2 linked regions of the Rattus norvegicus genome follow. The main gene of each other region encodes a partner of the protein of the gene in region 2 in a complex. Links are inferred from orthologs where the notes say so. Each region holds a gene or a part of one and is shown on either strand. Other genes may lie near its edges.

What was found. Proteins that work in one complex are often made in the same cells at the same time.
Region 1: Ruvbl2 (region 2) and Asdurf share a complex: the UniProt entries of both Homo sapiens proteins name them as parts of the PAQosome complex. The link is inferred for Rattus norvegicus from reciprocal best matches to the Homo sapiens genes RUVBL2 and ASDURF.

The regions. Positions count from the first base shown.
Region 1 is NC_086027.1:55,617,336-55,621,676, forward strand, and holds the start of Asdurf (ASNSD1 upstream open reading frame protein), read left to right. Parts: upstream 1-1,463; 5' UTR 1,464-1,520; coding exon 1,521-1,610; intron 1,611-3,198; coding exon 3,199-3,252; intron 3,253-4,341.
Region 2 is NC_086019.1:105,045,186-105,048,791, forward strand, and holds part of Ruvbl2 (ruvB-like 2), read right to left. Parts: intron 3,197-3,606; coding exon 3,142-3,196; intron 1,917-3,141; coding exon 1,861-1,916; intron 1,573-1,860; coding exon 1,431-1,572; intron 577-1,430; coding exon 447-576; intron 345-446; coding exon 278-344; intron 1-277. UniProt on the Homo sapiens protein: Possesses single-stranded DNA-stimulated ATPase and ATP-dependent DNA helicase (5' to 3') activity; hexamerization is thought to be critical for ATP hydrolysis and adjacent subunits in the ring-like structure contribute to the ATPase activity.

The DNA of each region.
Region 1 (4,341 bases), on a different chromosome or scaffold from region 2:
CTCAGGTGACAACAGATGCTGACATGGATGTGGAGAAAGAGGAACACTCCTCCATTGTTGGTGGGTTTGCAAGCTGGTACAGCCACTCTGGAAATCAATCTGGAGGTTCCTCAGAAAATTGGAAGTAGTACTATCTTAGGACCCAGTTATACCACTCCTGGGCATATACCCAAAAGATGCTCTAACGTATAACAAGGACACATGCTCCACTATGTTCACAGTAGCCTTATTTATAATAGCCAGAAGCTGGAAAGAATCAAATAACCCTCAACAGAGGATGGATATAAAATGTGGTATATTTCTACAAAAATAATGACTTCATGAAATCCATAGGCAAATCGATGGAACTAGAAAATATCATCCCTAGTGAGGTAACCCAATCACAAAAAAAAAAACAAAAAACAAAAAAACAAAAAAAAAAAAACCACATGGTATGCACACTCACTGATAGTGGATATTAGCCAAAAATCTCGAATTACCCAAGATCCAATCCACAGACCACATGAAGCTTAAGAAGGACGACCAAACTGTGGATGCTTCAGTTCTTCTTAAAAGGGGGAGTAAAAATATTCATAGGAGGAGATATGGAGACAAAGCTTGGAACAGAGACTGAAGGAATTGCCATTCAGAACCTGCCCTACCTGAGGTTCCAGCCCATAAACATACAATATTTCTGATGCCCAGAAGTGCATGCTGACAGGAGCCTGATACAGCTGTCTCCTGAGAGGCTCAGTCAGAGCATTACAAATACACAGGCAAATGCTAGCAGCAAACCATTGAACTGAGAACGGGGTACCATTGGAGGAGTTAGAGAAAGGATTGAAGGAGGTGAAGGAGCTTGCAACCCCATAAGAACAACAATACCAACCAACCAGAGCTCCAGGGACTAAATCACCATCCAAAGACTATATACATGGACAAACCCATGGCTACAGCTGCATATGTAGCAGAGTATGGCCTTGTTGGGCACTAAGGGGAGGAAAAGTCCTTGGTCTTACCAAGGCTGGATCCTCATTGTTGGGGAATGTCAGGGTGGGGAGGTGGGAAGCGGTTGGTGGTTGGGGACGGGGAACACCTTCATAGAAGAAGGGGAAGTGGGGATGGGATACGGTGTTTATGAATGGGAAACCGGAAAGGGGAATAACATTTGAAATGTAAATAAAAATATCCAATTTAAAAAATTAAAAAAAAAAAGCCAAGACCACAGTGTTAGGCACACTACTGATTAGTGATTTATTTTTACATAGCATCCGCTAGGGGGCAACACAGACCATTCATAGACTCTCCAGCCAAGCCAGACGAACCTTTAGCCAAAACTAATGTGCGCTGATGCACAGCTACTTAAAGTCGGAGTTCCAGGATCTAGTATCCACGCCTGCTACTGAGCAGGCGTAAATATGCGCACTCCATTGGTCGAGGTTCCGGAAGGGGCAGGGTCCTGAAAGGAACACTGGCTTCCGGTTGGGCCTGCCGCCTGCTGTTTCATCCACCGCGGTTCCTCCGTTCGGTGCGGCGTGGCGATGCCTAGCGGTGCGGAGCACCCCGGAGACAGCGCCGCGCCGGGACCCACCCGCACATCGACCGCGCACGCCGAGGCCCTTAGCAGTAAGGTGCCGTGGGACGCCGAGGATGGGCGGTGGGCGGCGGGCGGCGGGAAACGGGTCCCGCGGTCGCATCGGTGCCCAGTAGCCTCACCGGTCCATTCTCAGCACCGGCCGCTGGTTTCCCCTGCGTCCTGCAGATTTGCTATGATGGAGGCACAGATTTATCCACTGCAAACAACAGTGATACTGAGACAGAGGTCTTAATGACGTTTTTCCTTTACGCGTTTGCACCACTCTCCTCTCGGAACCCTTCACACATGTGATCTGTTGCTCGTTGGCTGTGCTTCATCCATTTAGCCATGTACCCGCCTGGACGCCATCCATGACGTCCATCATGAAAGTTTAGAAATCTGCCCGTTCTTCCAGACTCAGGCAAAATTTTCTTAACCGAAGTTATCAGTTGCCTGTTGACCTTAAAATATATTCTCACCTTTAAGTGATCCTAAAAACATCAGTTTGGTCATCTCTTTATTATTCAACCAGGACTGTAGCAGATTAATTTTTTCCCTTCCTCTTTTTGGGATAGGGTTTCATAAGTAGCTCAGGCCAGCCTCAAATATTGTTTGAGGATCACCTTGAATTATTCTCTTGCCTAATAGTCAGGATTTCAGGGAGGCAACCCCATACCTGAACTGTACAGTGATCTCAACTTCCAGTTACAGACAAAAATCTTTAAACGTGTGGATTGGAGGGGGTGTGGGTGCAGCCTTTTCAGTTATTAAACATCCTGAATTCCATATTTTTTTTCTGTCCTGTATGACATCTTCAGTACATTGCCTTATTTCCAGTGTGCCACAGTATTCTGTGGTGTCACCTAAAGTGAGATATATTATATACCTGTCGTTTGTAGTGAGCATAAAAGCGCTGTACAAGCAGCCTTGAATCTCAGGGAGGGTGTACTCAATGTAGCTTTGTCGTATGTTAGTACAGCTCTTAGCACTGCCCATGCACACTCATTTGGGTGGGGATGAGTTTTCAGAATACTCTGGCTACTGCCATAGCAAGCCTCTTGGCACTGTGTAGCTGTGTCAGTGTAGACTTATTGCCTATTTGGGCATTTCATCTGATGATAAGGAACAAACTGAGCTTAAGGATACCAGCAGTATGCTGTCCTTAATACTCAAAATAGAATGATACAAGGGTGGGAGATGATGTTGTACCACTGCAGGAAGGGCGTTCGTTCAGTACCGTTCCGTTCATTTTATCCGAATGTCTGGCTGTCATCCAGTGCATACATCATAAAACCACTGGCTATTGGTAAAGAGGAGAAGCCACATTCATTTCTCTTTTTTAGTCTACAGCCAGGCCTTATAAAATTAAAAGATTGGTATTAATTTGGCTAGACAGTGTCTCACCCTGGTTAAAGATGTGAGCTGTGGTAACTGGCGCCTGGCAAGTCTAAGTCAGCTTCTTTCTCCAGCTGTCTTCTACTGGTTCCAGCCTGAGTGTGGTTGCATCTGTACAGTATCCATTTAGACAGGCAGTCCATGACAGGCCCCAGTCCCATGTTTTGTTTTAAAGCAGTTGCTAAAAATGTGCTCACTAAACATAGTTTGAAAACTTCCACTTTAGGTTTTTTTCTTTACTTTAATAGATTAAAGAACAGAAAGTTATTGTGGATGAACTTTCTAACCTGAAGAAGAATCGGGTAAGTTGCTGTGGGAATCTGAATAGTATATATATATATAATATTAAAATTATGATTTAGATTATTTATGCTAACATTGCAAAATTCAAACATCGTAATTTAAAAACTAAAGTGATATCCTCATTTGGTTTTGCATGTTTTAAATTTGTTCTTCCTGTATAAGTCAGTAGATCTCAAAGATGAAAAAATTATATTTTAACAAAAAAGAATGAAGTTTTCCATAGAAAACTTTAATATTCCAAATACTTAACCCATTTCATGGCTTTTAAATAAATGTGTTAATAAATCAGCTACAATTAACTAATAATCGACATTTCTGATATTGTCATTTGTGAAATATTAGATGCTAGGGCAAATTAATACAGAAATTTTTGGAGATCAAACTGGCAAAATGAGTAAATGCTGTATGACACTTCAGAGTAACCGGTGTGGAAGCAGTTGTGAGGATGAATGCGTGTTTACCTGCAAAGGTACTTGCCAGCATCTGTAGTGAAGAGTTGACAGAACAGTAAATGACTGAGCTTGAAGGCAGTAAAGAACTATACATTGTACCAATGTGGTGATATAAAAGAACCTTCCTTGGTCAGAAAAGATCTCCATGTATTATTCGTTTATGAACTAAATTATAAACCTGTTGCTGTGATAGCCTTTGTTATTTGAAAGACTATGGTGTGATGACACATGTGAAGCAAACAACCGTCTCTGGGTGGCATAGTGATCAGTGACTTTGTTTATCTGTGGTAATCACTCTTCTGAATATTCCTGAAGTTCAAGAGTGGGTGATAAGAGGATCCTGTTCAACATCACTGTGCAAGTCGCATTCTTCTTTTTTATTAGCATGTCATGGGTACTGCGGCCTGAAGCATGGACTTTCAGTGCAAGGACATGATTGTCATGACCCTGGGACACCACTCATGGGTGGCTAGGAATATTGGTGCTGTATGATGGAGTGAATGGACTGTGACATAGTAGGTGCTCTCATAGCACAACACAGGAGAAAGCAGAATACAGACTTCATTGCCAATGATTAAGAACCACTGTCAGTTCTGTAACCAATGCTAAGGGAGCCTTGGGAGCCTTTTCCTCTTG
Region 2 (3,606 bases):
GCCTCAGAAGAGTTCTGGAAGAAGGGAGTTTGGATCCAGGTGTCCACGGTAACTCATCAGCCCATACACTTGTTTCCTCGCTTCTCATTTCATAAGAAAATCTCCATTAGCCCCGTGACACCCCCCACTGGTCCTGTGATACTTGACCAGTCACTGACACCCTCCATTGGTCCCGTGACGACCTCCACTGGCCCCACCTTTGCCTTTTGGCTGGAGGCGCCTTAGCCAGGAGCATGGGTGACATAGGTGTTGGGACAATGAAGCCTCAGAGACTCACCGTGCCTGTGGCTGGCCGATCAATCTGGATCTCCACCACCTCACCTTCAATGATCTCTGTCTCCTCCCTGGTGGGACAGACAGCACAGACTGGGTCAGACCAGCCCAGGACACCCTGGTTCTCTGACCAGGACTACGGGCAAGCAGAGGGGCCACCCCACAGGACTCACTTGATACGGACACCAATGGAACGGCGGAAGGCTTGTGTTAGAGCCTCGGTCTTGCTCATCTCCAGAGAAAAGATCTCACTGCCTGCGATGGCTGTGAACGGTGTGTCGGGGCCCAATGCCTGGGCCATGCCTGTGGGAACCAGAGGTCAGGCAGTTGTGGCTACTGGCCCCACGTCCCTGACACAGTGGTGGTTTATGGTCCAAGTTTCCAGACATCCTCAAAACCATCCATGCCTCTACTCCATGCCCAGACCTATGAGCCATTTAGTCCTGACATACTGTTCTCTTCTGTCTTGGTACAAGTCACCTTAGAGGCATGGTGACATGGTCCCATCCCTAGGTGAGCACTACTCCTAAACTGATTCCTGGCAGAACCTTGGCTCCTCCCACCCGGTCCACAGTCTCAGTAGAGGTGGAAATGAGGCGACTGGTGGGTCAGGTGAGTCTCGGAGGCTGAGACGCATGGGAAGGCTTTGAAGGACGGACGGAATCTGACAAGAGGTGGCTGTGGCCCTGAGTCACCAGTGGACTGCCGCAGAGAACACTGGTCACCAAATCCAGTGCTCACCCTCTCTCTCTCCTATTCCCAAAACTCCAATGAGCCAAATTCAGAACTGCAAAACAATGCTGGATGTGGTGGTGCATGGGCCCAGCACTTGGGAGGCAGAGCCCGCAAAGACTCCATAAAGACAGCAACCTCTGCGGCGCTGTGTGGTAGACTTTCCCACAGCAGCTTCCAGGCATGCGCATGCCGGCTGCAACTCCTCCTGAGGACCCGAGCACAGTGGGGAAGGATGGAACTTAGCAGCCTGCTTGGAATACAAGTGAGCCGAACATGGAAGCTAGTGTAGAAGGCAGGGACCCTGGACAGCCTCCTCCTGATGCTTCTATGTGACTGTTAATCAGTCAGCCTGTGCCTGACTTCCACAGGAGGGCTTCACTGCAGTGCACAGAGGAGAACATCTGTCCCTTGAGGCCTCTTACCCATGGCGATGGCTGTCTTCCCTGTGCCTGGCTGGCCAGCAATAAGGACAGCCCGCCCCGCAATCTTCCCTTCTCGGATCATCTCCAGCACCACGCCAGCTGCACGCCGGGCAGCTAGCTGTCCCACCATGCCCTGGGAAGCCTGGAGGGTGGAAGGAGAGAGGACATGGAAGGTAACTGGCTGCAGAGCCACCTTGGCATTCCCGCCACACCCTGGCACACACCCCACCTGCTGGAAAACAAAAGAAACAGTTCTGATTTTCTCTTCTTTCTGAGACAGGGTCTCACTCTACAGACCAGGCTGGCCTTGAATTCATGGAGAACCGAGTGCCTCTGCCTCCCATGAAGCAGAGGTGCTGTAGTACAGAATCAAGAGGCCTGAAGACCTGCCAGGCAGCAATAGCCCACACGCCCAGCCCCAAGGCTCTACCTGTCTTGGCTCCAGGGCATCATCCAGTCCCAGGCCCCGGATGTGGGAGTGAGCACCTGTGTGGGAGGAAGGGAAGGAGAGTTACTGGACAGTTCTAGGCAGCACTGGCTAGAACTGCTGAGTCAAGGGCTTCCCCTAGAGCTCAGGCTGCTCTCTTGGTCAAACGATGCCCAAGCTTGGTTAAGTGCTTGGCATCCAAGGTCTGGATGATGCTTCCAAGGTCCCAGGCACTGGGCCCAAGAACTAACGGTGAGCTAGGGTCTCAGCCCACACTGGGAGGATATAGGTACTTGGCACAGGTGCTGTTTTCACATCACACTGACAAGCCAGAGCTTGTTGCTACCATTCCTGGGCCATTCCACAGGGATGTGGAGAGACAGGTTAGGACCCAGCCTAGAGGTGAGGACAGGATCCCTGAACGGCATCCAGTGGCTCTGAAATAAACCTCAAAAGGGCACAGGTACCAGACCTAACACACCCTGCCTCCCTGACATGCACTCTTACACTTCTGGAAGACATGTGATTTAGCAAGCACAGGGCCTGCATGAGGCCCTGGGTTCCAACTCAAGCACTAGAAGTGGGAGGGTGCTTTGTTTCAAAAAAGTAGAATTCATCAGCCAGGCACAGTGACGTCACCCTCAGCTACACAGTGAGTTCAGGGCCAGCCTATATGAGAAAACCTCGAGAAGAAAAACAAGGCCAGGCGTGGTGGTGCACAGCACTCAGAGGGCAGAGGCAAGGGGATCTCTCCGAGTTCGACACCAATCTGGTTTACACAGCTAGGTCCGACCCGCTGAGGGACAGCTGAACAAGTAGGTGTGGCCTCCTGCACAGCTGGCGTCCTGGGAGCTGGCCTGCCGGCCTCACACCTGCCTGTGGCTCTGCGAGGCTCACTACTCAGCTGCTCTGAGAGCTGGCCTCCTCACCGGGGACAGGATGACAGACTCTCCACCTCCAGATGTCACAGGAGACATCCATCATGAACACTCACGAATCTGACGGTTACCTGCCGAGTACTCTGCAGGCTTGGGGCCTGAGTCACACCAGGAATGAGGCAGGCCCAGTGTACTCTCAGGGAGTATTTCACCATACGCACTTATGTGCTGGACACAGCTCAGACACTCCTCAAACTTCCAAAACCCCATGAAGGCATGCTACGTGTATAGCAGCCTAGTCTGGGACTAAGGCCCCATCACTTCCTTGTCTGTCTGTCTGTCTGTCTGTCTGTCTGTCTGTCACTCAGCAGTAGTGCCTCCCCTGGTCCTGACCCTGCTCACTCACCGATTCGCTCGATTCTTGTCACATCTCGGATCTCAGGGACTTTAGTAGTGGCTGCCTGTGGGTGAGGACAGTGATGTGTAAGAAGAGTCCCATTTGTCACATTTCATCTGCTCTCTCACGGTCCTGCTGCCCACCAGGAGCTCCCCGCCTCACAGGCAGGCAACACCCCAACAACAGCCACCAATCACTAATGGCCGTCATCAGCCCCACCACTGAGGGCCCAGGGAGATAGCCTGTGTCTCACACCTCAGGGCCCTGGCACATGGTGCATGGATGAGGAAACCCTCCTGTCCCTATACTGAGCTCTTTGAGGATGGCAAGGAGACTCGCAGACCAGCGAGCTCTCTGGCTCCCAGTAGGCACCTACTTGTCTCGCAAAGGGAACAGTACACACAACCCTGGCCCACCTTGGACTCCATGTTCACACATAGCACGCTACAGTGCTGAGCTCATTCAATAAACATC